3 linked regions of the Bombyx mori genome follow. The protein of the gene in region 1 interacts with the protein of each later gene in a pairwise test. Links are inferred from orthologs where the notes say so. Each region holds a gene or a part of one and is shown in the gene's direction. Other genes may lie near its edges. The genes, in order: protein draper, thioredoxin domain-containing protein 5 homolog and tyrosine-protein kinase Shark.

Region 1 (11,006 bases):
ATCTTTGTAAATTTGTTATTTAAAAAAAAAGAACTGTTCCTATTCATCACAAATTTTAATATTGAACTAATTAATTGTATTTAGTAAACAATAGCCTTACAAAATTAACCAAAAAATATTTTTTAAAGTACTCATTTTTTTTTGGAAAATTACTGACTATAATGCATTTTCAAAAGAACTAGGAATATTTTCAAAATTATCTATTAAGGAATCTGGTTCTGTTTCACCTGTAAAATGACTTTCTACATGTACTCTGAACTCTGAAAACTCAGTATCTTTTTGGAATGTTTGTCCACACATAGGGCATATTTTATCAAAAGGCTCGTTATCTTCTTCTTTTTCTTCAATAATACTTTCTTTTATAACAGAGGTGTTGATATCACTGAAGTTATTATTGCAAGAACTGGAATCAGCTGGTGTTTCCCAGTTCATAAGACTATCACTTGTTTCAATTTGTTTATTTTCTGAAGACACAACTTTGGTATTATTTGTAATACAAGTTGGACACTTATATCCTTCTGCAAAGAAGACAAACAGAATCAATAGAAATAGTTTCTGGAATCTATAAATTTTATATCTTTCTACCTTTCTGTCTTACCTGCCACAATAGTCTCAAATCTTGCTAATATTAGTTTAAGATCATTTTCTTGCTGAGCTACCTCTTTTCTCAGAGATTGCACTTTTTCTGTCTGAGAAATAATATCCTTTAAAGATTCCATTGCAGGATCTTCTAAGTATGTAAAACCAATAGAATCTACATTTAACATATCTTCATCCCTATGAAGTTGAGCCATTTGTTCATATTGATCAACTAAATTTGACTTTTCCTGAATATAGCTATTTATTAATTTCAGAGATATTTCTTCCAAGCTTGATTCAGAATACTTTTCTTGATAATTTACACTTGTTTTAGGTGTGCTTTGGATGTAGGTATTGGTACGAACTAATGGGTTTTTGACATTTTCTTTATTAGGTTTATTACAATTCTTGATAGTTGATATTTTATTCCATAGGTTTCTATTCTCACATGACACCATAAAAACGTGATGCATCAATTGCGACTTCTGTTTATTAAGCTCAGCTATTTTCTGGAGTAGGTCAAGTTTGTCATCGTCACGAAAAGCAATATTTTCATTATTTCTTGTAGCATCAAGTTTTAAGCGCATGTTGTCATTCTCCAAAACATTTATTCTGCGTTGTAGTAATAGACAACGATCCCTCATGGCATGAAGAGCCAACTCGTGAACACTGTGGTGATTGTAGTCGCCTTTAAGAGTGGCTTGGAATGTAGAGTCGTTATTAAAACTTACTATTGAAGAAGTATCCATTATTTCCTAAAACAATTTCATTACAACAACATTATTTTATAGAAGTACATAATTTCACCCCGTATTTTCTTCTAAAATTATGTCATAACTGTGTACATAGAATTAAACTTTTTTGTTTCACAATAACGACAGAATTAAGTTATTAAATGACATTATGTGTATAATCAACTATAATCTATGACAAATATATTATGAGTTTAATCTATGAGCTATGACAAGAATGATGACAGAGGTGGATCTGGCTCACTGAATTTGGCCCCTCTTTTTTTTTTCCGTTTTTTTTTTTTTAATTTTTAATTATTTGTTCGTCGTTTATTCGTTAATGTTTGAATGTAAAAATTGTTTTTTCGTCTTTTATTTATTTATAATTAATTAAACAAATGATCACCCTGTAGCGTTTATGAACGCACATTTTTATGATGCGTGGGCCGGAACGCACGAGAGGTGGAGAAAGGAATATAGTCTGTGACACGGGACCACGGGACACGGGACGGTAAAAAATACCGCCAAATATTTAAAACGTAAAAATAATTTATAACGTCTTTAATAACTAATGTAATATAATTACTTAGAATTGTTTATGCCGCTACAACAATAAAATTTATATTGTTTCAACTGTGGTACTTATTACATAAAACACGACTTTACGGCGAAATAAAGAAGGGACTCTATATGAACTCCCTCAACCCTTAAGTTGCCCTCCTTTACTTATATATCTTAGATATCTTTATTTTTATCGCTCAGATTAATTAATTTTGATCAATTATCGTTTGTTCGACAACTATTAGTGATTGTTCAATCATAAAAACAATTAAATTCCCAATTATGAAATATTTTATTAACTGACAAAACCGGCGCACAGTGGGTCGATACTGTGATTTTAGTGACTTAGGGACCAACTTTGTTTTTTTATAATTTTTTTTATGTAGATAGATAGAGCTCGTTAATCTCAATAATAATTGTTTTGGGCAAAAATTACAAAAACTTTATAGTTTGGTCAGAAAAATGTGTTTTGTGATTTTTTTGTATGGAGCGGGTCACATTAAATTAAATTCCTGCTAAGTACCGCGAGGTCCCGCTTTGAAACTTTATTTTCCTTATACCTTGTCTAGTCTACTATCATTTGATGCTATGAACATGTGCATAAAGTTGCAACTCTGCCAAATAAATGGATCGAAAAAAAATTATAAATACATAGAATAAAAACCTTTATATTTTTTTTCGTAAGTGCTTTTAAGTTAAATTTGATATGGATTAGTAAGTAAAAGCACGTAATGATACCCATAATTACATAATACCTAACAACAATACATTTAGTAGGTCTCTAATTATGCAATCTCTCTAATTATTAAGATAGTTAACATTATTTAATGAGGATAATTAGTTAAGTAGCCATTACTGGGTAGTAGAAAATATAGTAAACATTTGTTTGTCTCTGGAAGTATAAAGTGACCGTGTTTATTATATACTAACTAGTGTTCGTTTATTCGTACTACTACTAACATCTCGTGATTGTCGTTGTGATCTTGCTGTTTCCGTTATAATTGATAATTTTGTTAACAATTTAGGATTATTTATGATTTTAAGAGAGCAACTACAGTCGCTGTCTGATAATAAAAAACTCTTTCAATTCCTACAAAATCAAATAAACGTGACCGAAGAGAAAAATGTTGAGCTCCGAAAATTCAGTACGCAATTTTGTTCAAATATAAGTGCAATATGGAAACGAAGTAGTCGCATGTTAGCACAGTTTATAAGAAAAAAATGTGATTGGTTAGAATGTGCAATAAACTGGCCCGAAGGAATGATACCTGAAGCTATCAACACTGCACATGAAAGGCTCGAGATTTCTAATACTGAAGATGTTGAAAATGTACCACCCTCAAATGTACTACAGAAGCCTCGACATCTATTTTTGCACCTCGAAAACCTTTTGAAGAATTGGGATCCAGGCAAAAACGAAGACGCATTGAACAAATTTACCAATCGCTTTCGTTATCCCCGGATGAAATGAAAGCTACTACAATTACTAGTTTGAGAAACACTAGAAATGAAGATGTAGGAGAAATAATGAACCACTTGTTAAATCACCCCGAAGATCTAGAAAAAGTTAATGAGTATTTAATTACAAGTAAAGTGAAAAGTAGTACATATTCTCCCGATAAGGCAATATTAGTTTCACTTAAATTAAGTGGCAGTATATAAACCTAAGAGAAGCAGCAAGTGAAAATGGGTCTGATTTATACCCTTCTTAATATAAAATTAAGCAAGAAAAGACCAAATGTTATCCAGGGAAAGACGAGGTAATTATTACTGAAGAAGGAGCTGCTATTAAAATGCAAGCATTACTAAACTTGGTGCTATATAGGCTTTTAGATGTGATTACTTCGGATTTGGACTCTGCAAGAGAGCTACTGCTTATAAGCAAATAGGCTTTGATAGAGCCCCAGGTCAAAGTAATTATAAACAGAAAACTGAAACAGAGTTTGATGATTCATCTATTTTCATGGTCAGTCTAGTTCCTATAAGGCTTCAGAAATTTGATGGAACAATTGTTTGGGAAAACGACCTCATCAACTTTTTATTGCCGTCCAATAATGTTTAAATTTACAAAAGAAACGCAGTCAACAGTGACAATTATAAAAGCTAGCATAACAGAAGAAATAGAAAGACTTCAGCCATCAAAAATCAAACAAGTTGAAGTTAAGCATCAATTGCACATGATGATGATAGACGGCAAAATAACCTCATATTTTTCAGAAACATTTTCTGCTGTCTGTGATATTTGCAAAGCAAAACCGTCAGAGTTTTTTGGAGTGACTTGCTTATCAAAGAGAAAATAATGAAGAAATATTCCAGTATGGAATGCCATCTTTACATGCCTGGATAAGATGCATGGAGTGCTTACTTCATATCGGTAAATATAATTTTATTACTTTTTTCATAGTATGTAGTTTCCTGTGAGATTATTTTTTATATGACACTTTTTTGTTTGCGTCTTATCGTTTGGACTTCAAGAAATGGGGTTGCAAGGGGGGATGACAAAGAAAAAATATCAATCAGAAAGAGCGCTATACAGCAAGCGTTTAAAAAGGAATGCGGTTTACTTATAGATGTTGTCAAGCAAGGAGTAGGAACAACCAATGATGGCAATACTGCCAGAAGATTTTTCAGGGATGCAGAAGAAACAGCCCGCATAACAGGAATACGTAAAGATTTAATAGAGAGGCTTCACGTGATTCTTCACTCTGTTGCATCTGGAGAGCGCGTTTCCAATTTTTCGGAATTTTTTAGATATACTGCAGAATTGTATGTTAATGTATATCCCTGGTATTATATATGCCTTCCAGTATCCATAAATTGTTGGCACATGGCAGTGATATATAATAATGAAGAACTTTGGTGCCATTCGTATAGGTAAACTCTCGGAAGAGGCAGCGGAAGCTCGCAATAAAGATTTTCGGAAATATACAGAGAGATGTTATTCAAGAATGAGAAGTAGAACGTCGACTAATGAGGATATTTTACACAATCTTCTTTCGTCTTCTGACCCAAAGATCGAAAGGTGAAACAAAATATATAATATTTAGAGAGATTGCATAATTAGAGACCTACTAAATGTATTGTTGTTAGGTATTTTGTAATTATGGGTATCATTACGTGCTTTTACTTACTAATCCATATCAAATTTAACTTAAAAGCACTTACGAAAAAAAATATAAAGGTTTTTATTCTATGTATTTATAAATTTTTTTCGATCCATTTATTTGGCAGAGTTGCAACTTTATGCACATGTTCATAGCATCAAATGATAGTAGACTAGACAAGGTATAAGGAAAATAAAGTTTCAAAGCGGGACCTCGCGGTACTTAGCAGGAATTTAATTTGATGTGACCCGCTCCATACAAAAAAATCACAAAACACATTTTTCTGACCAAACTATAAAGTTTTTGTAATTTTTGCCCAAAACAATTATTATTGAGATTAACGAGCTCTATCTATCTACATAAAAAAATTTATAAAAAAACAAAGTTGGTCCCTAAGTCACTAAAATCATAGAATCGACCCACTGTGCGGCGCATGCGCAATGTAGGCGTGAGGTGATGGTTTGCTTATTAGATATAAAATAAAATTGTTTTTATGATCGAAAAATCACCAATAGTCGTCGAACAAACGATAATTGATCAAAATTAATTAATCTGAGCGCTAAAAATAAAAATATCTAGTAAAGAGAGCCAACTTGTGTGATCATTTGTTTAATTAATTATAAATAAATAAGAGACGAACAATTTTTACATTCGAATATTAATGAACAAACGACGAACAAATAATTAAAAATTAAAAAAATCTGAAAATCAAAAAAAGGGGGTCAAATTCAGTAAACCTACTTGATGCCATCAACAGTTACAAGTTACTAATCTGTGCTCGGCACCGACGGCACCATAGATTATACACTTGAGGTCGTCACCATCATTAATTATTACCGTGAGATGTGAAATATTTGATAAAAATTGTGGTTTTGTGCAGAGCTAAGCTTATTAAGAATGCATACAGATTAAACAATGAATTAGCTCAACAATTAAACGTGAGAATTACATAAATCATACGGCGACGAGTGCTTGAACTTGATATTTAAAATTTAATATTTTATTGTTTGTGTTATTTTCGTCGAAGTGTTGGACAACTTGGCGCAAGTATTTTACTAAAGTTTATTGTTTTGAACTTTTCAAGTTTTGGGTTTGGCCAAATTTTGTGGAGCAGCGTTCCACTTATGCGTTGTCAAAAAGTAACTAAACTATACGTTTTCATTGATTAATCAGGTATTTCATAAATTAAATATTTATTTTTAATGCTACCTTTCTTTCCACTAAATTGAGAGCAAGAATTAGACATGGCTTTGATATTATGTATTAAATAAAAATCTAAAGAACCCAGATTTATAGTGTATATAAAAATATAAATGTAGTTCACATATCTATCCTTTGACCTACTTTCAAGGTAGTCTAATATTTTAAAAGTATATTTTTTCTTTATTTTGTGGTGTTCATTGGTTGGTCAAGTATTATTACTGTTTCATTACCTATTAGTTGATAGCTGTTGTCAAGTTTAGTCCTGACAATACATTTTTATTTTATTCTGAAGTTGGTAATGTAATGTGTTAGTAATAACTATTAGTATTTATTTATTATATTTATTTATTAAAAATCTTTGATAACACAGTACCTAACATATTTTCTCATTATATGAAGATTGTATTTGTATTGAACTCCATACCAACAATGGTTTCCATGGCCTCAACGTATTAATAAATCAGTTAGAGAGAAAAGCACCAGTATTGCAACAGTGATAGAAGTAAATCCAGATTGCTTATGAATTTAAACCCTCAATGTATTTCTGGAGTTAATGACCTGCTAATTTGACAGTATGTCTTCCATGTTCTCTAGTTATGTGTAAGGCAGTGTTTAACTTGCAGAATTTCCAAGATTCATAACAATCACTGATCATGTGATGTAAAAAATTACTAATACTAGGAATAATAATGAAACTGTCAAAACAGGCACTCGTTATCTCCCACGTGTTGCTTAAGAAAAGTATTTTAAGTTTTTATGACTAATGTGCCAAATTTCATACTCAACATCTGTGCACCACATTATTTGAAGTTGAAAAATTTAAAATACTTTTAATATCAGAAAAAATTTGCAGATAATACTTTATACTATCTTAAACTGTACTTAGATTTGTAACTTTGAAAAATAGCATTACATGCATATTTACATGAAAATAGTCTATTGACTGATGGAGCCCTGGCACGGTTGCAAGGATATGGATACATACTTATTGTTTGTTCTGCATTGGACAAGCAGTACAATGCCTCTCATCACGAGAGTAGAATCCCACCTGTTGTTGCTAATTTTTGGAATTCGAAAGTTGAAAATTACTAATTTCTATGTGAAACCATTGTCTTATTGTAGGAGGTAGAGGAACTTGAGTTGTTGAATGGAGTTACGGAATGGCGAGATTAAGGACGTCGGTTCTTGGTATGGTACCCCGGGATTAATGAGGCTCCTTCAAGGTGGTCTTCATATAATCCACCAATTGAGAGGACCTATGATTACGTTAACATATCACGTTATGACACTGATGTCGGTCGATGGGGGGACGGGACATTGCGAAGGGTGAACTGGGGAAATTTATTACTCCGCTTGCCGTTTACAAGCTGTTTCAGTGAAGATCGGATGCTTGGATTAAAAAGCGACACTATGGTCAATTAGTGGGTTTCTCGTCCACATACCACGTTACATCACTGAAATACGACGTTTCAAACGTCCGCAATAAATATATAGAGCATGAGAATATAACGGTAAAGGAATATGGCATATAGTTAAATGTAAAGGTAAATTGTTTGTTCCACCGTATGTATTAATTGTTGCGCTCACTAAAATTCGACAAAAATTTACGGGAAAGACGCGAGTCGTTTATTTTATTTTTAAGTTTGAAGACACTAGGCACTTGAATGTACTACCGGATCGGAATCGCGACCCGCTGAGAATTTGGCGAGAAACTCAGCGGGCTGATTCATGGGTTAGGTGCACGTCGAACTCTTTGCCGAGTTCGACAAGTACGGTTACCGGGGTCCCTCAACCTGCTCCTAGTGTTAGAGCTGAAGGCGTCTAATGCAAGTGTTATTGGATCTGATGGATCAGTGAGGACGTGTCTAGGGCGTTGTCGGTGACTGGCTCCTGCAGGATCAGGATTCGGGGAGCAGTTAGCGGTGGCAACGATAAGGCGATTATCATGACGCGTAACCTTATCGAAGTACCGTTCTGACGCTGACTTCAGTTTCCGGATTGATTCGAGGCCCAGGTCGTCGTGTAGTTCAACGTTCCTCGTGAAGCACGGAGTTCCGGCGGCTAGCCTGCAAAATCGGGATTGTAGGGTGGAGGGTGTCTAAATGTGTGCGAGCCGCGTGAGCGAACACCACACTCGCGTAAGTCATAACGAGCCTTATGCAAGTTTTGTAAAGTGTCATCTTGTTACGGGGGGATATTTTACTCCGCTTACAGATCATGGGGTAGAGTCTGCCAAGAAAAAACGCGGTGCGGTCGCGGACGGATTTTATATGGGGGTGGAATGTCATGGATGCATCCAGGGTGACACCCAGGTACTTGACCTTCCTGGCCCAGGGTATGGGTTGGCGAAGAAGGTAATCGGGGGTGTAAATACTATAGTCTAATCCATTCCTAAATAGGTAAAGATAAAACGGGTAGGTAAGTAGATACCATTATCTCCTCTGTTTGTCAAAAATATTATTCCTCTTTTTGTTTTGTAGGTATCGACGAACTTCAGTTACGTCTAAATTTATTTTATTAACATTGACAATGTTATACCATAGAGAAAAATAGAACAAAAAAAATAATTTGACTCTTGAGGTGTTTGTGCTTATTATACAATTTCACTTAGAAGGCGAAGACTAGTATATTTAAAAGGAGCACATTTGCGCACCATTATATTTATCCGATTGAGCTGAAAACTTGGAACAATTTTTGTTACATAAGTAAAGGTTTTTGTATTAATATCATCAAGGACGCAAAATAACGCGGAAGTATTTAAAAAAAGACTAATGTATTTAATACATTTATCGTCACGTCAGAGAGTTTTAATATATTTTAGCGTATTTTAGAGTTTTAGTGTATTTAGTATATATGTATAATAAAAATAGGAATAGTAAAGAAAAATCTTGTTGATACATCCATCAAGAAGTTTTTTCTTTAGTGTACAGACGGTTTACAGACTGAATATAAAATTGTATATATATCTCAATAATATAGTATTATAAATAAATCAGTTCGATGCGGTCAGAAAAAGAGTATTATTGACAGCAATATTCAGTATAATATCACACTATGAACCGAACTGTGTGGTGTAAGATAAAACGTTTAATAAATTTTAAATTTTGTAGCTTATCTGTATAATTGTATTATCTATCTTACTCAAGATAGATTTTGATTTAACCAAACAGTAGTGTACCAGATAACATGCGGAAATATTAGTTTGAAGCTAAACATTATTCCCTTATATTATACATGTAACTGGACATTCTTCATTGAATAGCGACATAAATAAAATAATCGCATTCTTCGTGACGTCAGTAAATTAGTCATACAGCTTAGTACGTAGGCGGACATATTCACATATTTACAAAGCCTACACGCGTCGCAAAACATTTCCGAATTTCAGGTTCATGTTTCCATAAATATCTAGTATACTTATAGTATACATATATAAAATAGTTGTGTTAAAAATTGCAATGCGTATTTACTTTTTTGATAAACGATTAAATGTGAATAAAATTTATCTGCTTAAATGTATGTATTTATCGAAGTTTAAATTAGAAATTAAAATAATCTTACTCCTAGCGACTACAAATTACACAAAATACAAACAGTATTTTACATACGTTGTAAAAGTTCACACATTCAGTGGTCCGTCTAAATGGAATCGGCAATAGCTCGACGACTAGGTGCTTCAATGCGGCCTACTTTATCCACAGTCCCACCCACTATCGAAGGATATGACGGAGCGATGAATTTGCCAACAACTACGAGTACCTACTAGCAGGCACTCAGGTCAAGAGAACGCATTTTACTTTGAACGTAAAATAAAAATATCAGTACTAGAAAAACAGCATTGTATTAATGATTTAACTGAAGTAAATATAATACAAAAGATATAAATGATGACCACGACTACTCTGCCAAGAGACAGAAGAATAGAAAGACAAAATCCTATCTGTCTGAGATCGGATTTTTAAAATGTTTCTATCCATATAAGTTATATAAAAGTCGATGTGTGTATGTTCCCTGTAGACTACAAAACCTCTGGACCGATTTCGATGAAATTTTTCTTCGATGAAACCTTTACATTGGCCTAGCCGGAATCATAGAAAATGTTGGTGGCAATTAAATCAAAGTCATATGAAAGACCGGCCAGCAAAGCGGGGCGGATTTGACTAGCTATTTACAACTAAAGTGGTTTTTTTTTCGCAATATTCGCATTCGGTATGTGTACAATACCGTAACTTTTCGTTCACAACGTTTGATACCATGCTAACCTGTTGATAAATAAAGACTAATAGGGAATTAAGATGGTATGGCAGAAAGGATTTTCTTCACCTAAGGAGAACAGCTTAAACCGGTACACTGATGGTTCTAGAACCAGTTCAGAAACGGGAGCTGACATATAAACTGTTACAACTACTGCAGGCTTGGAAAATATGTATGCGGTTTTAAGCAAAGATATACGCTATGAACTGAAAATGTATGAAAATATTATATAAAATAACCTACATTCTCAGCGATAGCCAGCCTCGGATTGACGCTGAAGTGCATACGAACTCTCACACAACAATGTCATTCTGTACATGTTAATGCCATGAGAAGGCTTATGATTTGGGAAATACAGGATCGGACAAAGAAATAACCTGAACACTGTATAAGGTTAAGCAATAAGGATATTCATACTGAGGCACTATTACAAAAACAACAATAAATTCTAAAATAACAGCACAGCAGAAATTAAAACTGACAAGACCAAAAAGTTGTTTACGTTAGCTAAGACGTTTGCTTGGGACCCTCAGAGACACTTTTTGGCACTGAGGAGTGCATACGCAAGATGAAC
Region 2 (11,006 bases), on another chromosome or scaffold:
TAAAGGAGAATGGTGGGAATTAACAGTAGTCGTGTTGTCGGCTTGGTTACCGTACGGAGGCGGCGGGACGGGGTGCATGCCGCGTTGAACGGCGAGCACTTGCATCGTGATCGCATAACTTGGTGGCTCCGTGGTCGGGACGGCGGGAGGAATCGCAGTAGGTGTGGAGCCAGGAGACGACGGCTTCGGTGCCGACGGGTAGCTGGGCGGAGTCTGTGCCTGCTTCTGTTGGATGGAGCTCGCGTACGAAGGAGGGGGTGGGGGTGCTCCGGCACTGGTGGCTGGCGGTGGGGCAACCGGTGCTATCGCCGTTTGTAGTACCGGTTTCTGAACTTGTGTGCTTTTCACAGACTGCATGATGATAGGAGGCTGCACCGCTTGTCTCGCGGTCCACGCCTGGAGCGGCGTGGGGCGAGTCATTCCCGCGGCTGAACCAGTCGATTGCGTTACCGTAATTGGACTCGGCGAGCCGGCGGAGGTGCCTCCTGAATAGATCCCCGAAGATGGACTCTTCCTGTAATCCTGCGACTGGGTTGGGCTTTGACGATTTTGGATAGAGACCGAGTAGGGAGGAGGTGGCGGCGCACCCGACATCGGATACGGCGGTGGAAGTTCGCCGCCGCCACCCGTTTGATAGATACTGAGAGCTTGTATCTGCTGCGTAAGCTGCTGTTGCACTTGAGGTCCATTTTGTACAATCATGGGTTGTCTGGCAGGCGGCGTGGGTGCCGCGGCCGCCACGGGACTGGTGCCCCGCGCCGGTGGTAGAGGTGGCGCCGGCGACATGCGCTTGAGCAGTTGCTGCACGGAAGGCAGCACCGGCGGCGTGGACGGACATCGCGGCGGCGGAGGTGGCGGTGGTTCTGAGAAACCTGAAGGCGAATACTGTCGCGATAGCTTCTCGTGTGGTAGCGGCGGTGGCTCCGATTGACGCGGACTATCAGACCGGGAGCTACCAGCACCTGAATCAAGTGCAGGACTACCACGATGTAGATTTATCTCTCTCTCTAGACTAGGTTTCCGGATAAGTTTGGTGCCAAGAGCACTCAAGTTACTGCTTTTGAGGACGCCGTTGAGAGGTTCTTGCTGTTTCGACAAATAATCGAGAGCTGCATCAAAACGCCCTCCTGCATATTTGAGTGCCCTCACAGCTGGGTCCTGAAATGATTTTTTCTAAATAATATACTCATTATTCAAAAACAGAAGCAAAACAAGATAATGAAATTTTACCAAATTGATTATAATCTAAGTACACCGTGAATATCTCTTCTGACGGTGAGTGGTTACTAGAGCCAATAGACATCACAGCGTATATGCGCCGTCATCCATCTCGAGACAAGAGGTCTAATTTTTCAATTGTATAGTATATTAACTGTCCTGCCCTTCTAATTAGAGCATATTACTGCTTGACAGTAAAATTCGGTAGGGTGGTGTGCCCCACCCTGCAGCGGCAGGTACAAACCATCCATCTAATAATAAAAAATTCGGGCAGGGGGCTTAGGGGGCGCGTAGAGTATGTGGGTGTTGATGGTCCGTAGACATTGGGAGAGAACCGCAGGTCCAAGAACGTTTAGGGCCCTACCTACCAAAAGACTCTCCTTGCACTCTCTCCCCCAACGCCCGATCTTCGTCTGGGTCCAGTGCCCGAGCAGAGTAAGGGCAGAGTAACATTATAAATTAACAACCAACATTCGATCAATGGATAGTTGACGACCAACAAACCTAGTCTCTGTGTGGTAATATAATAATAATGGCATGGCAAAACTAGTATACCGAACTTCTTATGTAGATCTTGCTTGGAGTTTTTATTGTAATTTTGTTGTAGATTGTAATATAATTATTATCTTGCTGACTTATAAACTTTACATAGACAAACTATGTGAATATAATTCCTATTTTACCTCATTCTAATACTATTATATATGTTGAAAAAAGGATTTATTTGAGTACACAGTAATGTAATTTTTCGCCTGGGAAATTTATGAGAACAATTGTGAAAACTAAAAATTAAATTGATATTGGAGATCTTGAAAACTTCCTGCTATCAGTCACCGATGATACTAATAGCTAGAAGATACATATAATCCAAGACGGTAGAAAAAAAAGCATGTGTAGAATAATTTTAAAAAAATCTTTTTTTATCATTAATATTAGATTTTATTATTTTAGGCTTTATAACTAAGCCTATAGATCACAATAGGGGTTTTAAAAAATCTGAACACGAAGCTGAATTCAAAAATGCATTAAAATATTTGACAGCCTGCCCTTTAAACCAGAATACATGGTTAAAGTGTTAGGTATAGACAGAATATTGGTATATGACCATATTTATTCTCAAGACAATATGCATTTACAACATGCACAATACAATAATGAAAATAAAAATTAAAATCTTGTGTTTTTGTATTGTGAATAAATTACTTCTCAATTTAATTCTGGTCAACATTATATCCAAGAACACAACCTTAAGCATTCATTTTATAACTGTTATGACTATAAATTTGATTCAATTTAAATTATGTTTAACATGATTGTTGAAAATGAAAACAAACTACCACTGGTTTCATGATTGCCTATTCCTCATTCCACTGCAACCAGGCAATATGCAAGTAATTAGCTTGTACTTATAGTGTTTATGTTTAATTAAAATTTCTCAGTTATTGCAAATAACAATAACTTAAGTTTTACTCAAACCTGGTTAAAGATTGTCCTTAGCCTTGGTATTAATGAAAATGGACATTAATCACCAATAAATACTGATAATATCGGCCATACACTGCCTTCTACATTAAAAGTTGATAGTCTTTCTTATTATATTTTAATTGTATTATAAATTCCATGTATTTTTATATGTATATTTCTTCTGTGCGTGTGTTTGTCACTGAACTCCTCCTAAACGGCTGGACCGATATTAATGAAATTTTCTGTGTATCTTCAGGTGGATTTGAGAATGGTTTAGATTTATAAAGCAACCCGGCACTGCAGTCGGTATCTTTCCTAGAAATATTTTTATGGCAAAACAATGCCAGCCAGTTTTTTTATAAAAATTAAAGATAATGGAATAATGACACTAAAAAAACACTAATCATATCTGTTATTTAGAAACACTTTTAGCAATTCATTATAACTAAACTCACCTCATCATAACCCAAGGCAATAAGTTGGTTCAAGGATTGAGGTAGCACATTCAAGTCTTTATCGAGTCCATTTCCCGAAGAAGAACTAAACCCCGAACTCACTCCTGAACTAACTGTGCTAGCAGCTGATGAACCTGGCGGTTCAGAGTTTCCAATGTTCGCAAAGGGAAGCAATGAGTTTCTGATTTCGGCAAGCGCCTTCTGGTGGTATCCGGAGCGCGTAGCCGTTTTGCCGGGCGCCGGCGGGTTCATGGCGCCCGCGCCCGCGCCCGTGCGCCTCACCTCTCACCCCACGCCTCCCATCACATGAGCACACCCCACACCCTGTACATATCCTTGTTTATTATCCTCCGCACCATTTATTCAACACTCTAATTAAGACTCGCAGCACTGTCACTGTCTTTATTATCGAATTTATTTCGTTTATATATCGATTTCCTCACTAGTCAGTCTGTATCAACATTGCTTTTTGTGTAGCAGCGTGAAAGGTACTTTCTTTTAACTGAAAAATATTTTTAAATATTAGTACCTAATCAATTGAGAATTCCTCTTGCTTTAGATCCCTTAAATTTTATGTGATAATAAAATAATGAGTTAAATAAGTTAGATGAGAAAAGTTTGACATCTTGGCAACAGGATAGGGATATGATTTGTCGACTTTATACAGAACCTGTTTACAGTATCAGACAATTCGAGTACACAATTTTTAACAGTATCGCATTCTATCCAAGAGTACGAGGATGTAAGGAATGTCTAATGCGAATCAATCATGACATAGACTTGTGGAATTCCAAAATTAGAGGGAGCTCGGAAAGCAATGTTTCGTTCATTCAAGGCACTAAGAAGAATAATTAATTACTGTAATTCATTACCAGGCACTTTTTCACTTTCTGTAAATCCGTATTATATGCACAAATGTCATAATCCCATAAAATGAAATTCAGTTCGATCGACAGCTCTCACATTGCCGATGACATCTTTCTTGCACACTTAGTTTTGATTAGTCGCATTAATTTTTATACGGAAGAGGCAATCTGGAGTCGATAGAGTTGTGCTTTAAAGCGAGAGTTTCTAAGGAAATATGAAAACAAAGGACTCTAAAACACAGACATGCAAGTTGGCAAACCATACAAAGCGACCATTTTGAAGAATTACCACATTCTTTAGTGTGTTCGGATACACAGAAGATTAAATTCCATTTTGTTTGACGACTCTTTTTCGTAAAAAAGAACCCAGCTAAAGCACTCATCTGCTTACTAATGTAGGAATTTCTCTATTAAAAGTAATAATCAGACCTTTAAAAAAACACTTCTACAGAATTGTCGAAATGAAACTGTATCCGAATAATAAGAAAGTCACAGGCATGGAGTAAGTACCTAGTCACAGGACTCACAGCAAAAATCCTAACTGCAAAAATTCTAAAGAAAAAAAAAAGAGTATAACGGTCTAATTCTAAGACTGTTAAATTAAGAAATTTCTATCTGCTATTGCCTAATTCATTTTCTTCATAACAAGGTGACACTCTACAAAACATGCATACGTTCCATTGTGAAATAGGCTTGGAGTTAATAAGGAAATAGGTAAGTGTAGTGTTCGCTCACGCGTCCCGTTCACACATGAACTCTCTCCAGGTTATCCAATCCCATTTCTGCAAAATAGCCTTCGGAGCACCGTGGTACGTAAGAACTAATTAGTTTCTATCAGTAAAAACCTTATGGAAGCGTCGGAACGCTATTTTGATAAAGCGGCGTGCCATTACCTTTCCGCTTCTCATTACATATCCGACCCAGGCAACAGGGCAACCTAAAGCCGCCGTAGCCATTAACATATTCTTTCCGATCTTTCAGGTCCACTTTCAAAGATTCTTCTGTCGTTCGCTGTGCACGTTACTCTCTGCTGTGCTCGACGTATGAAATAGCTCATAGACACCACCCACTGAGATCTCGCCGGATCTTCACGGAGGGCTGTGATTCCGATCCTGTGTTAAATTCAACCAAGTACATCTCTACCTGAGGCCAGTGCTAGGAATTTTTTTAGGTTGTTGCTGTTGTCAAGTTGTGACTTTTTTATTTTTTTATTTACTGTTTCATCAGGTTTAGTATGTTATGACGGTGGTTTATTAACATTTTAGTATCTCTGAAAGTACACAAGGGTGGTTAAACGAAACAAAATAGTTGGATATTGCTTTTTGAATTCTTCCAAAGTCCATTGATCTTATCTTGTCATCCTTAACCTCCGAACTACCTATTATAATAGGCGGCGTGCGGCAAAATACAAACACCACAAAGCAACCAACGGTGGTATCCTTGGCGTCGTATCTCGCGAAAGTGTTGCAGGTCCCCGGTTAGGTGGTGAACAAATATGGCCAACGGTTCGCCCTTATTGGTGTTTGACGGCGATATATGCCGCGGCTTTCTTGTTGCGGTTCAAAGTCAACAGTTCAAAGAAGATCGTCGCAAATATTAACTCGTGCAGCGAGCATGAGAGGAAAGTATAAATAATACACATAATATCAGGAGAGCACAGATGAATATATTAGTTGGAGGAGAGTACAAAAGTTATGTGTATTATCTATGAGTACAACATTAAACGGACAATAAGTACGGCCTGTGTTCCAGCTGCGCCAGAACAATCCCGCACCGTGCCGGCTCCCTTAAGATTTTGTTTAATTCCAACCATTTTACTAATTATTTCATTGGTATGGTATTGTTTTATCTCAGTTCAGTTAATCCACATATCCTTCTTCAAACGAGGCTTGTGCAGAGTACTTAACGGCGAGAATACTTAACGGTAGGCAGCAGCTTGGCTCTGCCCCTGGCATTGCTGAAGTCCATGGGCGACGGTAATCACTCACTATCAGGTAGACCGTATGCTCGTCTGCCTATAAGGACAATAAAAAAGATATCTAATTTAATTTTTGATTCAATTTTTTATCAATCTATATCAGTTGACTTTCCACACAACAGACATAGATTCACCTTTGTTATAGAATATTACTGTGTATGTTATATGTGCTACGTTCCCTGTGCTGCCAATAGACAAACCAAACGAAAAAGTTTGAAGTGCTGTGCAGCAAAGCAAAATTTATCCAACAAATACGAAATTATTTGTTGTTTTAGATTTAACCTATTAGCTACTTAACTAATGAGAAGGAGAAAAGATATAAATGAAAACAACCTAAAAAAGTTACCTCAATTCACAGAGGCATTGTTTAGAAATATATTCCTTCACCACAATGAAGATATTACCATATCTATTTGTATTTCCGTATCTTGTAGCTCCTGAACAGAGTTCTGTTTACGAATACAATCCCAGTAATTTCAAATTCCAGATCGAAGAAATGGATGGAAACTTTATTATGTTTTACGCGCCATGGTGAGAACAATAATTGAATTTACATTATTCCTTTCAGTGATTAAATTCAAAACAATCTACATATTCATTTATTTATGATAAAAATTATACTAAATATTGAATCGAAACGATTTTATAAATAAACTTAATCTAATTTTCTTTAGTTGACCGAAATGTAAATGGTATACCGTAGTGACATCGATGAGGCCTATTGTGTGTGAACCTCTAATAGAAATTGAAAATACGAAGATCACAGCCAAGCTTCCGTTCAAAACAAAAGATTTGAATGCCCTCAATAAAAACGAACTGATGTGGGTAGTGGTGAAAAAGATCCTTCATACTTATTGACTAAACTACAAAGTTAGATGAGCATTTTTACAAAAAGGCTGACGACTGATTCAATGAGGGTAATTCACGATATAAAATTAAAAAAGTTGTTAACCATCCACAACTAAAGATGTGTTCCAAGAGAGTTTCAATAAAATACTGTTTGAAATTACCATAATATCTATATTTTTTACCATTACGGTACTATACCATTTACAGAAATTATATGTTTTAAGGTGTAGACATTGCACAGAATTTTATCCGATATGGTCAGAATTGGCAGAGCTGGTTAATACCAAGGACTCCAAATTTGCCATTGCCCAAGTTGACTGCACAGTGCATGCTAAGCTTTGTCATGAAAATGAAATAACAGGTACTTAAGTAAGCATACACATAATTTCCTTGTTTTTAAGTATGTACATAATAGAATTTTTTTTTAAAATAGGTACACTAGTTGATGGTGTAAATAAATTTGAAAAAAATTACAGGTTATCCAACATTATTTTATTTCCACAAAAATACATTTACACCAGTTGAATACAAAGGAACAAGGGACTTACCATCATTGACATTGTTTCTGAGCGAAGCCTTCTCTGTCAAAACAGAGGTGAGTAGTAGAACCATTTTGTCACTGTTGCTCAGAATTAAAAAAAATCATTCTTCATAATTCATTGCAAAAGTAGGTCAATGGGATTAAATTCTAGCCTACAAACATCACAAGATTAATGCCATTAGCCATAATCAGATATGAGGTTAAATACCAATGAGATTTATACTTAATTTAGACCATTTTGATGAATGGATATAAATGGAAGTTCTGTGTCAAAATTTATTAATAATATCACTTTATTATAATTTTTTCTGACTGACCTATCTTCATAGACTACAACATAAGAATGTGACTGAATATAAAATATAATATATATAAACCTGTATCCAATTTATTATTTCAGGGCAAACAATCAAAACAACCAAATGAAGTTAAAACATACAGCGGCATGTCCTATCTGAATGACCTGAATATTGAGAAGTTTGTGTCAAAAGGACAGCATTTCATCATGTTTTTTGTACCTTGGTGTCGTGCATCTCAGGTAATCCCAAACCTATAAAAAAATGATGTGGTACATTTTTCTATTGTAGAAATGAATGTTTCTACCATCAATGATGGGGATGATAAATTTTGACTTTGGTATGCAATGTCTGGCAAAAACTGTAGCACCAACTTACAAAAAAAATGTAGTGTATATCTATAAAGCAAAGCTTTGATATAAAGTTTTCAAGATTGGTTGCTATCATATAGACTAACTGGCTGGATACTATTTCAGTGACATGAGCCAATAAGGGTACAGTAGAGTTCTGAGAGAGATGCATGTACGTTTTAGCAAACCCCAGTACCAGCAGTGCTGGAGCCTCTGAATGGTGTTGAAGCTTTGCTAAGATGGCAGAAAGTAGAGGCCAATCAGTTATAGTAACTAAACTCTTGCATTGGATAAGATGGGCTGTAGAGGAAATACTCTTTTTTTCGCTTTGCCACTTCATTCTGCATTATCATGGTGTAACAGCAGAATAGCATTTGGGACCAAATTTTGTGTCAAATTAGGCCATTCTAGGAGAGCAAAAGATTTCATCTCTGGATTGAGGTCAATACACTACAAAACTGCTTTATTAGGGTTGGTGCACTATTTTTCTATTTCACAGCTCACATAAATCACTCGATCAGTTTTCAACTTTTTCATGCAGTCAATTACAACCATGATGCTCACTTATCAGTCAGTGACCATACCATCAGCACCAAGATGATGACCTTGATGGATCCCAGATCACAGCAAATAGAACAGCCAGTTTCCATTGTTATTTCTAGAATAAGGTTCATAAATATGTTTGCCAGAATGCAGAAGTACGACAATGATGTAACACACCACATTTATATTGAATTTTCAGAGGATGGCACCGATTTGGGCAGACTTAGCAGTACATTACGCTCACAACAACTACATAAAAATTGGAAAAGTTAATTGTATGGATAATGAGATAACATGCGAAAATTTTGAAGTCAAACAGTACCCCTATTTACTCTGGATTGTTAATGGAAAAATTGTGAGTATATAACAAGTTTCTAATGATTAAATTTATCTGAATAGATAATTTTTATTTATTTTCACTTCATAGTGGCACATGTTTTATTTCTGAGGATGAGGCAACCGTGTTGAGAGATGTGACTGTGCCAGTGCTCAAATGCCACAAGCAAGTACTAATTTTTCTAATGATGTAGTTCTTACCACATTTGATTAACTACCATAATGAAATATTAACATTGTGTACTAAAAATTATAATTTGCGCAATTACTGGTGGCAGGTGTGTCTCCTGAGCATGCACAGGTAGGTTTTACGATTCAGCTAATTTCTGCCGCGAACTCTTAATGCGTTACGATTTGAAGGGTGAGAAGCCTAGACAAGCTTTGTGGGCAAGGCTTGACTCTGCGCCTGTCATTGCTGAAGTCCAAGGGCGACGGTAACCACTCACAATCAGGTGGGCCGTACGTACATCTGCCTGTAAGGACAATAAAAAAAATACTATAACTGAATACACTTGATACTTAGACCTCATGTCTCAAGATGACCATTCGCATTGTGATGGCTTTAGATCCGGTGATTATTGAACGCCAGGCGAGCCGTGAGCTCAAGTCACCCAATAAAATTGCAAAAAAACACTTTGTAAATGCTATTTATTAAATTTTAGTCCTTTTTGTGTACTATCAAGAGAACAAATTAAAACACTGGAATATAAACTAAAGAACACTCTGTACTTTAATGGATTTTAATAAAGTCTAATAGATCCTCAAAGATAATATAGCCTATATCATATAAAGAAATAAGTTTACTTCTACTATTACTTTCTTCTACAGATGGGTGCTTCGAATGGGGAAAACTTAGACGATTTGAAAGCATTTGTTGAAAAAATGTTGCTTTCTGAAAATCACGATCCAGAGAAATTTCTAAGAAAAAAGAAAGCACTTCCTGTGGCCAGGATATCTGAGGAGACATTCGAAACTTTTCTGCAAAATGACTTAGTTTTTATTAATTATTTTGCGCCATGGTTAGTTAGTGCTTTAAAAATGAAATTATTGTTTTTAAATGATTCCTGGATTTTTATGTTTTCCATATTATTAATATCCTATATCAATTTAGAATAATTTGGAATTTTGCTAATGATGTTGTTTACCATTCAAATTTAAAAATATAACATAACAATTAAGTTAATGGGAGCTTATACAAAGTATAACAGTGTGTGAAAATATTTCTATCTGTGACTTTCCACAGTGCTTAGACTAATTTGTCGTACACACCATAAGTAAGTGGCGGTAGGTGATCACAGTGTTGCTGTAATAGTCTTAGTTAAATCCCTCTCTAAGAATCTGTTAGTCGCTTTTTGCCCACTCGAAAGTGAAACTATTCTAGGCCACACAGCCAGTGTCAGACACAGCTCACTGAGTTTCTCGCCGGATCTTCTCAGTGGGTCGCGTTTTTCCGATCCGGTGGTAGATTCTGTAAAGCACTGCTCTTGCTAGGGTCAGTCTTAGTACCTCTCCGGTTTGAGCCCCGCGAGCTCACCTACAAACGTTAGGGCGAAGCTGAAATAGCCTTGAAAGGCTATCAGCATAAGTAGGAAAAAAGAAAGTAGGTGGGACTGAACAATAAATGCTTCCGGGTGAGAAGTGTGTAACTTAAACTAATTCTATGACTCAGTGATACTGCCAGGATTATAGGCAATTCAGGGCAAACAGTTTGAAGATCAGAACAGTTTGGAATTAGAGGTTTATGAACATGATGAGTATCGTAAACTCATCATGTTCATAAACCTCTAATTCCATATACACTGCAGTATTCTACAAATAGGCATTTTTTCATTTTATTGCATTTACTGTTTTATTTATTTTTGTAATAGTTGTTATATTATTACCTCCTGTGTCAAATTAGTATATAAATCCTAAGTCCATAGTCCAGAATTTGATGAGAGTTTGTACACTTCCTTGGTTTGCTTACAGGTGCGCACATTGTATGCAGTTAAGCCCATTATGGATTAAATTAGGGGAAAAGTTCCAAAACGAGACAAGAGTATTGATAGCAGATGTTGACTGTGTGCAGAGTAAACCTATTTGTGAAACAGAAAAGGTATAACACATTAAA
Region 3 (11,006 bases), on another chromosome or scaffold:
TTGTATAGTACATGCAATTTATAAGATCATCGATGTTTTTTTTTATTGCCTAGATGTGTGGACGAGCTCACAGCCCACCTGGTGTTAAGTGGTTACTGGAACCCATAGACATCTATAACGCAAATGCGCCACACACCTTGAGATATAAGTTCTAAGGTCTCAGTATAGTTACAACGGCTGCCCCACCCTTCAAACCGAAATGCATTACTGCTTCACGACAGGAATAAGCGGGGCGGTGGTACTTACCCGTGCGGACTCACAAGAGGTCCTATCACCAGTAATTACGCAAATTATAATTTTGCGGGTTTGACTTTCGTTACACGGTGTTATTCCTTCACCGTGGAAGTCAATCGTGAACAATTGTTAAGTACGTATTTCATTAGAAAAATTGGTACCCGCCTGCGGGATTCGAACACCTTTATATACCTACGAATGCACCGGACGTCTTATCCTTTAGGCCACGACGATTTCAAACTGAATTAACTGCAAAATATAACTTCTGGTAGATAAGAACTGTTTTGCAAAATAGTATGTTAAAAATTAAAATTTACGCTACGGGTGGGAAGTGAAGGACGGAAGGGTCATCGACCGCTGGTTATCCGATGGTGGTAGAAAGCGGTGAGTGAGTCACCGACGCGACCCCGGTTCCATGCTGCCTTGAAACGTCCTAATGAAAATGAAATTTGGTAGGTACCTTTAAATTGAAACGAATACTCCAAAATATAGTTTAGTATTTTTTTAAAGTAACAAATTGAATATGAACGAATATTAACTGAGTATTTTATGCAATCATTTCAATATGATCTCAACATGGAGTTATTAAGTACAACACTAACTCTATGGATCTCCAATATTAAGCATCGAAAAAGCATTATTTTTATTACGATCAATTAAGACCTCCGCGATTGTTGATACAATAACATAAACAAACTCTAAGTAGTAGTTAAATATAAAAAGGTTCTTAGTATAAAAACGAAATCGTAATATTTAATGCAAAGGTGATGGTGTGTGATAAGGCACCTAAAATTGCTAAACCAAACTAATGTAGTGTAGTATGTAGTGAATGCATACAATAGCGTATTCTAAAGTCAAGATTCTATCCAACTCTGGTGTCAGAGAGACCAACGAAAGTAAATAAACATTGGCTTGCGAGGTAAACAAACTTGAAAACAGGTTTGTAAACATCTAGTACTGAAACTAAGTACTACTAAGCCACGTTACCTAGTTGTATCTACTTTCTACGTTTGCACAAATACCTTTGTAACAGTCAGAACTATTTATTTGAATTATGGAATGAATCATTAAATGGTCTGTGTAATAAGTAATATTAACCAAGGGCTGTAGGGAAACAACAATACGTCCATTAATGTAATTATCAAATATTTTGATCATAACATATCCATTTTTATTCCGAAAAATGACAAAACCACTTATTCAACTGGGAACTTTATTGGCAATGGGTGCGTGATCTTGGATATCTTGACATGTTAATCATCCATCCGTAGTAGTAGCAGAGGAGGAGTACTGGTAATTCCATTATTTTGCTACTTAACTTTTATTCTTGCCTTAAGTACTGGGTATGTTAAGAGCCTCTACAGATGGGTTCCACTGTCTTATGTAATTATTAGTATCTAGCAGTCATGACTCATGGTTCATCACATAGATACCAATCTGTGTGCTAGACTTTCTCACTTGCAACACGAGCAGCAAAAACTACGGTCAGAGGAGAAGTAAGTATTGTAAATAAACACTTTAAATAAAATAAAAAAAACACTGAACGTAGTGTTGAAATGTCCCGTGAACTTGATACATTCAAATAATTTCAGGGAGCTTTTATTGTAATTTAGAGATTAAAGACGATACGAAGTCTCACCGCAAACTCTGATCCTCACCCGAAATACTGAAAACATTGACAATGTTTTAACATGCACCGCGAATTAAAAAAACCGCAATCTTTTTTTTATTTTTAATGCATTTTGATCGGTTCATTATCTTAATTCTTTGATTCCTATACCACCGATCACGATCAGTTTCAGTTTTAGAAAGTAAATTATTTCACTGCAGTCATATTTTCTTAAAATCACCAAAATGTTAGTAAAGTGAATGAAGTTTTATTGTTTCATTATGTGCAACCCATACTAAAAATATTGACGCTTGCTCTTTATTTAAATATGACTGGGTTCTTACTTCTTCAGAACATTCTAGTTCTAAATATAGTGTGGAAGTTGATGGAGTTGGCACGACATTTAATCGGAAAAGATTGTATGTTGCAAGGAAGTCAACGATGAATATGTTATTATCCATACCGAACGTAGGGAAATCGTTTCCGGAAATAAAGAAAGGTCGTAGTGCTGATGATTTATGCCGGGGCCACTTTAAGAGATCGTGATAATAGTTCTACTAGTTAAGGCGTTCGTTGCAAATACTGCACATTGTTGTAAGAACTATGTACCATGTGATATGCCATCCATTGCCTGGGGCCGTCCACCGTCTGTATTCGTTTCATAAAACGAGATTAAAACAATCGAATTTATAGCCAATTTAACGAATTCGAAGAGTACCTCACATATTTTATCTATACTAGTATTCGCTCACGGCTCTGACTAGGTTTAGGCAAAATTGCTTATACCAGGTAGTTGATTGATTGCGTTCTTGGCATTTCTGGTGCCCCTGCGTAGCGGCGACTTCGATAGTCAACTTTCTTGGACAGTATTAAAAGATAATACTCCAATTTTTTTATTGCTTGTGTAGGCAGATGAGCATAATAATATGGCCCACCTGATGGTGAGTGGATACTGTCGCCCATGGACTTCAGCAATGCCAGGGGCAGAGTCAAGCCGCTGCCTACCGAACTAATAAAATAATCAATAGACCATAAGATTCACATAAAAAGGATGTTCAATTATCGTTGCGGCTGTCGTTGTGAAATAATATTTACTTTCTGCGAATGTAAAAGTATGTACTGAGAAAATACTTGAGTTGAATCATTCTGCGCCAGATAGGTATTCAATTGGTGATATTTACTGATCACGTGAGTCATCTGCGCTTTGCGAAGGTATATACTTGTACGTTATACAATGTGCCGATTAGGGCTGCCACAGATGTCCTTATTTATTACGATTTAATTTATTAGTTAATGATAATTATGTTTTTAAGCTGTTTCTTAATTTGCTTAAGTTTAATTTCACAGTTCATAGACTATGTAGCCTAAATATCACTTTCCACCTTGAAACATAAGATTGAGTTCAAAATTTTTTTTGGCGTGCGTAAAGGCCACGTTATGCTGCATTATTACTTTCCAGCAGAAATATATAGGTGTACCGTTCCCACAGTCTTGCAAGTTTAAAAGTGAATTAAAGGAGTAACAATAGAAGATTTTTTGAAAATTCTTCTACCATGAACAGATGACATGGAAGTAATAGCTGTAGCTTGAGAAGGCCACGATCACATTCCCTTAACAGTTAAGTGATTAAACTATTCAATAATAAAGTTAATAGCCCCTATTGTCAAAGTTATTCCTTGACAACTTTTCCTATTATTTTCAATACTAAAACGACAAACTCATTTTATAAATAGGAACCGTTGGCAAGATAATGTTAGTTCCTAGTGTTTACACAGTACTAGTTCTTTGATCTGAGTATGTAAACGTGCACTATATGCATACATACATATGTACAGGCTTGTCTCTTGACTGTATTAGTGAACTATACAACATTCTAGAATTTAATTTTAAAATCATTCAATGAACCCTTAACAAATTCGGTCGCCAAAAAGTTACTGATTTAATTTAAGCTTTCTAAAAATCTAGTATGTATATTTTATACGATTGAAAACTTAAAGATTCCAAATTTATTGATGTAGTTCTTACCGTAAATTTCACAAAAATTCTGATATTCAAAAAGGAAAATCGAAATTTGGTGATTTGTTACTAATAGTAATAACAATGAGAATATAGTTCATTATGTAGATACCTATTTCGTTTTACAAGAGTTGTGGTTACATTAGGTATCGATAAAATTAACATTTTTTTGTAGTACGAATTTATGTAGAATGTCGATTGGGAAACTGGAATTTAGAATTAATAGATAATCGAGTGATGCTTCAATCAAGCTTAATGTGCCTAATTGTGTCTCATTTAAAAACTATTACAGTATTTAGAAAAATGAATTTTCCCAACATTCTACACCTCACAAAAACATGGGTACCTTGTTATAATATGTTCATAAACATCATTCTATCATAATATGTTTTAGGTTCGTTTGCACTTTGAAGACATTGTGTAAAAAAAGATACAAAAGAAAAAGTTTTATAAGTGATTGTAAATTAGTATAACTTTCGTTCGACATTCAAATTTCGATGCAACATTCGATTAGAGTTGTATATGCTATCCATTGCTATCAATTTTCATGCTTTGCTACATCTTAGTTATTGTCTTATAAGACTTTGTTTGCAAATTCAAAACCATTGTCGTTCTTATATACTTATACATGGAGCTTAGAACAAAAAAACGCAGCCAAAAATTTATATGCCATCTTGATTTTCATTAGTTTTCGTTTTCAATGACTTTATAGCCAGGACACATCTTGTTAAATTGCCACAATGCGCTTTGGTCGAATAACTTAATAGTCACTACACAAATTTCGTTACGTGGTTGTTCTGTGACTGCTACGTTGAGTTGTGACCGGTCTCTGAGCTTTAACTGGTGGTAGGATATCGTTGTGAGCCCGCACAGGTATAACCATCCCGCCCATTTCTGCTGAGAAGCCGCGGCGCTGTCGGTTTGAGGGTTGGGGCAGCTGTTGTATTGAAAAATGAGACTTAGAACTCATATCTCAAGATATGAGTTCTAAGTTCTGGGTGGCGACATTTACGCTATCGATGTCCATGGGCCAGTAACCACTTAGGTAACAGAAGGTGGACGTGAGCTTGTCTACTCGGGATATTATGGGCCCACATGGGTAAGTATTTGTCGTGAAGAATTTTCATGTCCCAATTTTAAGGAAAGGACGGCAGTTAAACTTTCAATTCGAGACTTACGACTCACATCTGAAGGTGAGCGCCAGCATTTACATGTCTATAGAATCCGCTAATCACTTAAAGCCAGGTGGGCCGTGAGCTCGTCGATCTATCCACAACAAAAAATATCATAAAGTGTAAACCATAACATACTAAAAAAAACTTGTTTATTTTTGACTTGTCTGCTGCGTACTTACTACATGTAATTTTATTTTAAATGTTTGAAATATCTGAATAAGAATTGAGATTGTGTGTGAGGGAATGCGTACTACACATAAAGCGTTTGCGTTGTGGAACTGTGTGTGTACGTTGGTGTTGGTGATTCATTTCTCGGAATTGACCTTGCTATGAGTCATTCGCTGGAAGGCAGAGTCGGGGATACCGCGCCTGTCTGCTTGCTGCCGGCTGCATGGCACACGCACTCCGTTTGCTGTTCCTAGTTTAATACCGAGTTTTGTGTATCTTAATTAAAAAGTAAATTAAGTTGTAAAAATGTGCTATTATAGAAAACGTAGAAAATATCGTTAATCATAATTTTTATTAATACTTGGAAATATAATATTTGTGTTTTGGAATTTGGATATCATGATAACAACCATGACGTCATTCATATTACTTAAGGTAAGAAAATTATTACATTAATTGATCTATATTAATAATTAGTTATTTTTGCAAAACTAGTATTTATGTAGATGATGAATCATCCTAAATTTCTTATCAGTTTCTTATTTGACGATTCAGTTGTGACGTTTGACTTATAACCACATTTATTTAAAATTGAAACATGTTGGTGTTTGTCTCTCTTTAACGCAGACTTTGTAACGAAGTCGGAGGGAGATAAATAATACAGATGAGAGAAGACTTTAAACTTTCAATTTGATAGTATTATGGTAGGTAATAAACAACAAGAAAGAATGAAATAGAATGAAACATGGCGCGTCAGTATCAGTAATTACATCAAAGTTTTGACTTCTGGCAAAGTTTTGAAACTTCCCACGGAACATTTTGGATTTGATTTGATATGTTACAACAGATTAAAACTTTATTAATTGAGGATTAAGAAAAACAAATAAGAAAATTAGTAGTTTTAGGTCATCTGATGTGTGGAATGTGGTGCATACCTGTTGAACAAGTTTCCAATTAACTTTTCAGACAAACTCTTTTTTGTTGAGGATGAATAGAGAAGACAACGTTAACTGGTTTCATGGGAAAATATCACGTGAATCCGCTGAGAAACTGTTAAAAGAGGGTTAGTAAATAGTTCTTTTGTCATTGTTTTGAACAAAATAAAACTTTAAATATAACAAAGTTTTGTAATTTCAGAAGGAGAAGATGGTGTATTTTTAGTACGGGAGAGTAATACTTCGCCTGGAGATTATGTTTTGTCTGTTTTGCATCAGGTACACTAAATTTCTAATAAATTTGATAACCTAAAAAAATATTTTAAATAAAGTTTATTTGAGAATTTAAAACTGCTAGACAATTCTGAAATAGAAGATTTAATTTTCAGGGTCAAGTAGTGCATTATCAAATACGCAGACACGGTGAAGATGCATTCTTCTCTATAGAAGAGCACACAACTGTTCATGGATTGGATACTCTTATACAACATTACCGTAGTGATTCAAATGGACTTGTTACTAGGTTGTCCATTGTCTGTAAAGGAGAACCACCACCGCATGAGTCGAGGACACAGGGAACAACAAATTTACTGCACAGGTGTGTTTCAAACTCAATTTTTTTTTCTAAAGCCAAACACATTTTTTGACAGAGAAATTGAAATAAATTTAGTAAAATAACAATTAACTTACAACTGGATTTGTATATGAATTAAGACAACAAAGCACTAAGGCATTCAGACATCACCACTGTATCTCTAGTCAGTGATTATGCTAATTAAAGTTCTGAAATGGTTATAATTAAGTAATTAAGCTTCTGGCAGGCAAATCAGGCTTAGTAATGCTCATATCTTACAACAATGGAATGTGCATGTTTGAAATAACGAACGTGAAAACTCTGGCACAATTTTTTTTTATAATTTCTCTGATCTGTTTTACTAGTAATCTAAAAGGCACCAACTTATTCCAAGTTTCTTATGTCTTTGATTTAAAGAACTAATTTTCTAGATTTGTACAACAAATGCTTGTAAGGTGAATTATACAAATACAAGATAATTTAATTACAGCAAAGCTTAGAAAACTAAAATGAACTAAATTCTTAATTTATTTCATTCATTTCGATATGTTTTCATTGCTATCTAATCATATGCTAAGATGAATCCTTGATCACCAATTACGAGAAATTAAAAAATAAAGCAAATTTTCCTAAAATACAAGTAAAATAACAACATCAAAAAACTTTAATCAAATTTATTATTTTGGCTATAAGTTTCAACTTTACTTGAATAAGATTTAAATGTATTTACTATACAATTTTAAACAAATGCTATATCATTTTAGTATTGTGGATACTCAGTCAAACACACAGTTAATAAACTTGTTCAATCCCTTAATTAGTGATATCGTGACTAGTTCAAGAAGGATGTTCTATTAAGAAGAGGGTCCCGTAAATTGTCCTTAATTCCCTCTTGTGTTTTATTGTCTCAATGGATAGATAGATATCGTTTGAGTTTTTCAATTATGTTATGTACTGTTATTATGTTAAACTTTTATTGAAATAAAGCTTGAAAGTGTTTTACTAGGATAAATTATATTATTCAGGAAATATCTTATGATATTACGGATCATGGCTAGACTAAATTGATATTATTTCATTATTGTAAAAGTATGATATTATTTCTTCCTCACAAGAGGTTTGATCAGAGTACTCGGCAGTAGGCAGCAACTTGCCTGTACCTCTGGGATTGTTCATTTTTAAGTGCAATGGTGATTATACTTATTATCAGGCCCATATGCAAGCCAATTTACAACAGCAACAAAAAAATACCCTTTTTACTACTCTGTATCATATTATCTCAAATCACAAAAATCTGTGCAGTATTAAAAATGTTGCACGTTCCGAAATTAATAAAATCAACGATCAATTAGTACTTTAAAGTGTTAAAATTATGAGATTAGAAAATCTAAGGACTCCCCTAACACTTTATGTAAGCTAATATAATAATATATATTTATGTATATAACATAATGGGAATTAAATATAACTTTAAATTTCACTAAAGTTCAGTCTTATAATTTCCATTAACAAATGCTTAAAAAATTATAAAGTTCTCTTAAATTTGGAGAAAAAAAACTTGGATGTGACCTCTGTTGGATGCAGCTCAATAAGGTTATTGAACTTATTTCTTATTGTTTTCCCCTGTACTGTGCAGTCAGTGATATTATTTATTGGTTGCAGTCAAGTTTATTGATGATTTCCTGTTGAACCCGGCACTCAACTTGTTTATTCAATAATATCAGAATAATGAATCTGATTACAAATATGGCCAGTGCAATTTTGTTTCAGACGTAGAAGTAAATTTAATAAACCGAACATATATAAATGAAATAATTATAAACAAAAATATACATTACGATAAATAAATATAAATAAATATTTTAATAACAATCACGCCACGTTAACTGGTCCCGTGCTAAGTTCGTAAAGAACTTGTGTTACAGGTACCAGATAACGGAAATAAATGTAAGATTTTTATTATACACATACATATATTTAATATTTAATATACGTCCATAACCCTGGTAAAGACATTTATATTTATCATACAAATATCTTCCCTTGGCGGGATTCGAACCAGCGACCCCCTTGTGTAGTGACCATGTCACTTACCACTACACCAGACGGCCGTTGATATGATTGATTTATCATATTTCAATCGAGATTCAAATATTTATCGCTCAGCTAAAAATTAAACGATAATATTATACCAAAACTATTTAATTAATTGCATTTGAGCGTTTGTGTGCATTTCGAAATTTCTCTAAATATAAAAAAAAACAATCTTAAAATCTTTACAATACAGAGCTTTACTATCCCGAGTATTATAAATGTTATCGAACGAAAAAAATTCAAAACCGTAAGTCATCAAAATACAATCAGAGACGAAAGTTCAGAATTAATTTGTCAATATGATTAATATGCTCACATAGATTAAAACAATGCATTATTATATATCCAAACGGTCAGACAATTATAAATGGTAACAAAGCAATATTATTTCAACAGATCTCGTGTTTGTTTGTTAATGCGCATAAAAATTCTTGTCCCGCATTATGATGTGGTGACTTTGCAATCTGAACTGATTAGAATACCAAATGCGGTCCGATGTGTGTTAATTAAATATACGCATGTGTCAGCAAGCGTTATGTGGCATTCAACTGTTGTTGCGCTTTTTATATATAGATCTTTTTATTTGGTATACGTGTGTGTTAGGATCATTTTATTCAAATTACCTAATTAGAAACATAGTAAAATATTAATAGCAAACTCTGTTGAAGTATGTTTAAAATATATTTATTTAGAATCAATCCTCGTGCCCATTATTTATGTAAATATTAAAAGTAGGAAATAATAACAGACTAAGACTTATGATTATTTTATAACTTAAATTCTAATTTTATAACTATCCTAAAATTTGTTGACTTCCGCCCTGGCACAAAGAGGCGGGGCGTGATGTACGCAAAATGGCGAACGACACACTGATTGAGCGAGGACAGAAGCAAGACGTACTTTACAAAAGCGTATCGATTAAGGCAATTAGTGTACTTTAAAACCTATTTAAAGTTGTGGAAATAAAGGAAGTGTAATCAAACAGCATTTGGATTGTTTTTTTTGGTGAAAGCCAAAATGTGTCTGAGCTCACAAGATGTTAAGTGATTACCAGAATCTATAGACACGGTGTGAACCGCCCTAACCGCTTTGAAACAGTCGAAGTCTATATTAGAATACATACATACATGAAAACAATGTTCGATACGTAACTATGTACTTTGAAACTTTGTTCTTGTGCTAGTGTCGAACCATGTTACAACCATGAAATTTTATCTTATTTTTTGTTTATTACAATTCAACTTCTGTATACTTAGAATGCGGTTTATATGAATATGGAGGATTTTTCTTGTTTTGTCAACTACCTACTTCCTAGTAAAGTAAATAACATAATGATAAGAGAAATTAATAAATTTAGATCTTTTCACTTAGTAATAAATATAAGACACGAAAGCGTTAATATCGGAGGGCTTTCAGAGCTTATGTTTATTGAGATAGACTTTAAAGAGATAAAAAATATTATTCAATTTATAAAAAAAAAAACTTATGTATAGATCCCAATTAAAAACCTCCTTCTCATTTATAAAACCTACGCAAAGTACAAAAACTTGTTCATTGAAAATCGAAAACAAAATTGTTTCATTTTTTTGGTCGGACACTATTAAAGGTAGTGTTGCCACTCAATTTTTACATCACCTTTACATTATGTTTCATACAATACACACTCTGTTGTTTTTATTACCAAACTTCAACTTAAATATTGCCAATGGTCTTCGTAATTTCCTTAATCGTTAAAAAACAAAACCATTTTGTTTCTATTTACAGAATATTATATTTGTTGCGATTTTTTTTTTTTTTTGTTTGTACATTGCCTTATAATATCGAAATATCATACACATATTTAAATGTTATTGTCACTCTTGTGAATCATCTTTGTTTATGTTAATGATTCATTGTTAAATACAAACCTCATTGGACATACAAGCTGTTCTACTATTGTTTAATAATTACCGATTAATTAGGCACCACAATTACGTATGTGCGAATAGTTAGATAATAGTTAAGCGACAAAATCGAATGCATTCATTTGTGGGTTTTTAACAATACTAAATATTTTCTTTTTCTCGGCGTGAGATTAATTAAGAACAAGTGTCTCGTAAATATGATCTAGTAAGGAAATTTTAATACTACCTAATTAAAAACAACATTAATCTGTAGGGTAGAATAAGCGAACTAATCTTTCGATCCTAAGTTAAAAAATA

Evidence for each region.
Region 2: the proteins of protein draper (region 1) and thioredoxin domain-containing protein 5 homolog interact in binary tests that used the Drosophila melanogaster proteins (3 or more experiments, as listed by UniProt). The link is inferred for Bombyx mori from reciprocal best matches to the Drosophila melanogaster genes drpr and prtp.
Region 3: the proteins of protein draper (region 1) and tyrosine-protein kinase Shark interact in binary tests that used the Drosophila melanogaster proteins (3 or more experiments, as listed by UniProt). The link is inferred for Bombyx mori from reciprocal best matches to the Drosophila melanogaster genes drpr and Shark.

Annotation. Positions count from the first base shown.
Region 1 is NC_085115.1:6,513,417-6,524,422, forward strand, and holds the start of protein draper, read left to right. Parts: upstream 1-5,763; 5' UTR 5,764-6,018; exon of another isoform or gene 6,019-6,148; intron 6,149-7,554; exon of another isoform or gene 7,555-7,722; intron 7,723-11,006. Other genes in the region: protein spindle-F, read right to left, coding at 157-518, 599-1,328. UniProt on the Drosophila melanogaster protein: Receptor which is involved in the phagocytosis of a variety of cells including apoptotic cells, severed and pruned axons, degenerating dendrites, salivary gland cells, germline cells and bacteria.
Region 2 is NC_085112.1:13,705,835-13,716,840, reverse strand, and holds the start of thioredoxin domain-containing protein 5 homolog, read left to right. Parts: upstream 1-5,881; 5' UTR 5,882-5,997; intron 5,998-6,084; 5' UTR 6,085-6,372; coding exon 6,373-6,512; intron 6,513-7,054; coding exon 7,055-7,191; intron 7,192-7,306; coding exon 7,307-7,425; intron 7,426-7,771; coding exon 7,772-7,909; intron 7,910-8,759; coding exon 8,760-8,915; intron 8,916-9,724; coding exon 9,725-9,915; intron 9,916-10,619; exon of another isoform or gene 10,620-10,692; intron 10,693-10,864; coding exon 10,865-10,991; intron 10,992-11,006. Other genes in the region: serine/threonine-protein kinase Warts, read right to left, coding at 1-1,158, 3,138-3,389. UniProt on the Drosophila melanogaster protein: Possesses thioredoxin activity. Acts as a ligand for Drpr and is required for the phagocytosis of apoptotic cells. Binds to the extracellular region of Drpr and augments Drpr tyrosine phosphorylation.
Region 3 is NC_085111.1:13,528,513-13,539,518, reverse strand, and holds the start of tyrosine-protein kinase Shark, read left to right. Parts: upstream 1-5,113; 5' UTR 5,114-5,601; coding exon 5,602-5,637; intron 5,638-6,168; coding exon 6,169-6,265; intron 6,266-6,339; coding exon 6,340-6,416; intron 6,417-6,526; coding exon 6,527-6,735; intron 6,736-11,006. UniProt on the Drosophila melanogaster protein: Following axon injury, required for recruitment of drpr and glial cells to severed axons and for glial clearance of severed axons from the central nervous system.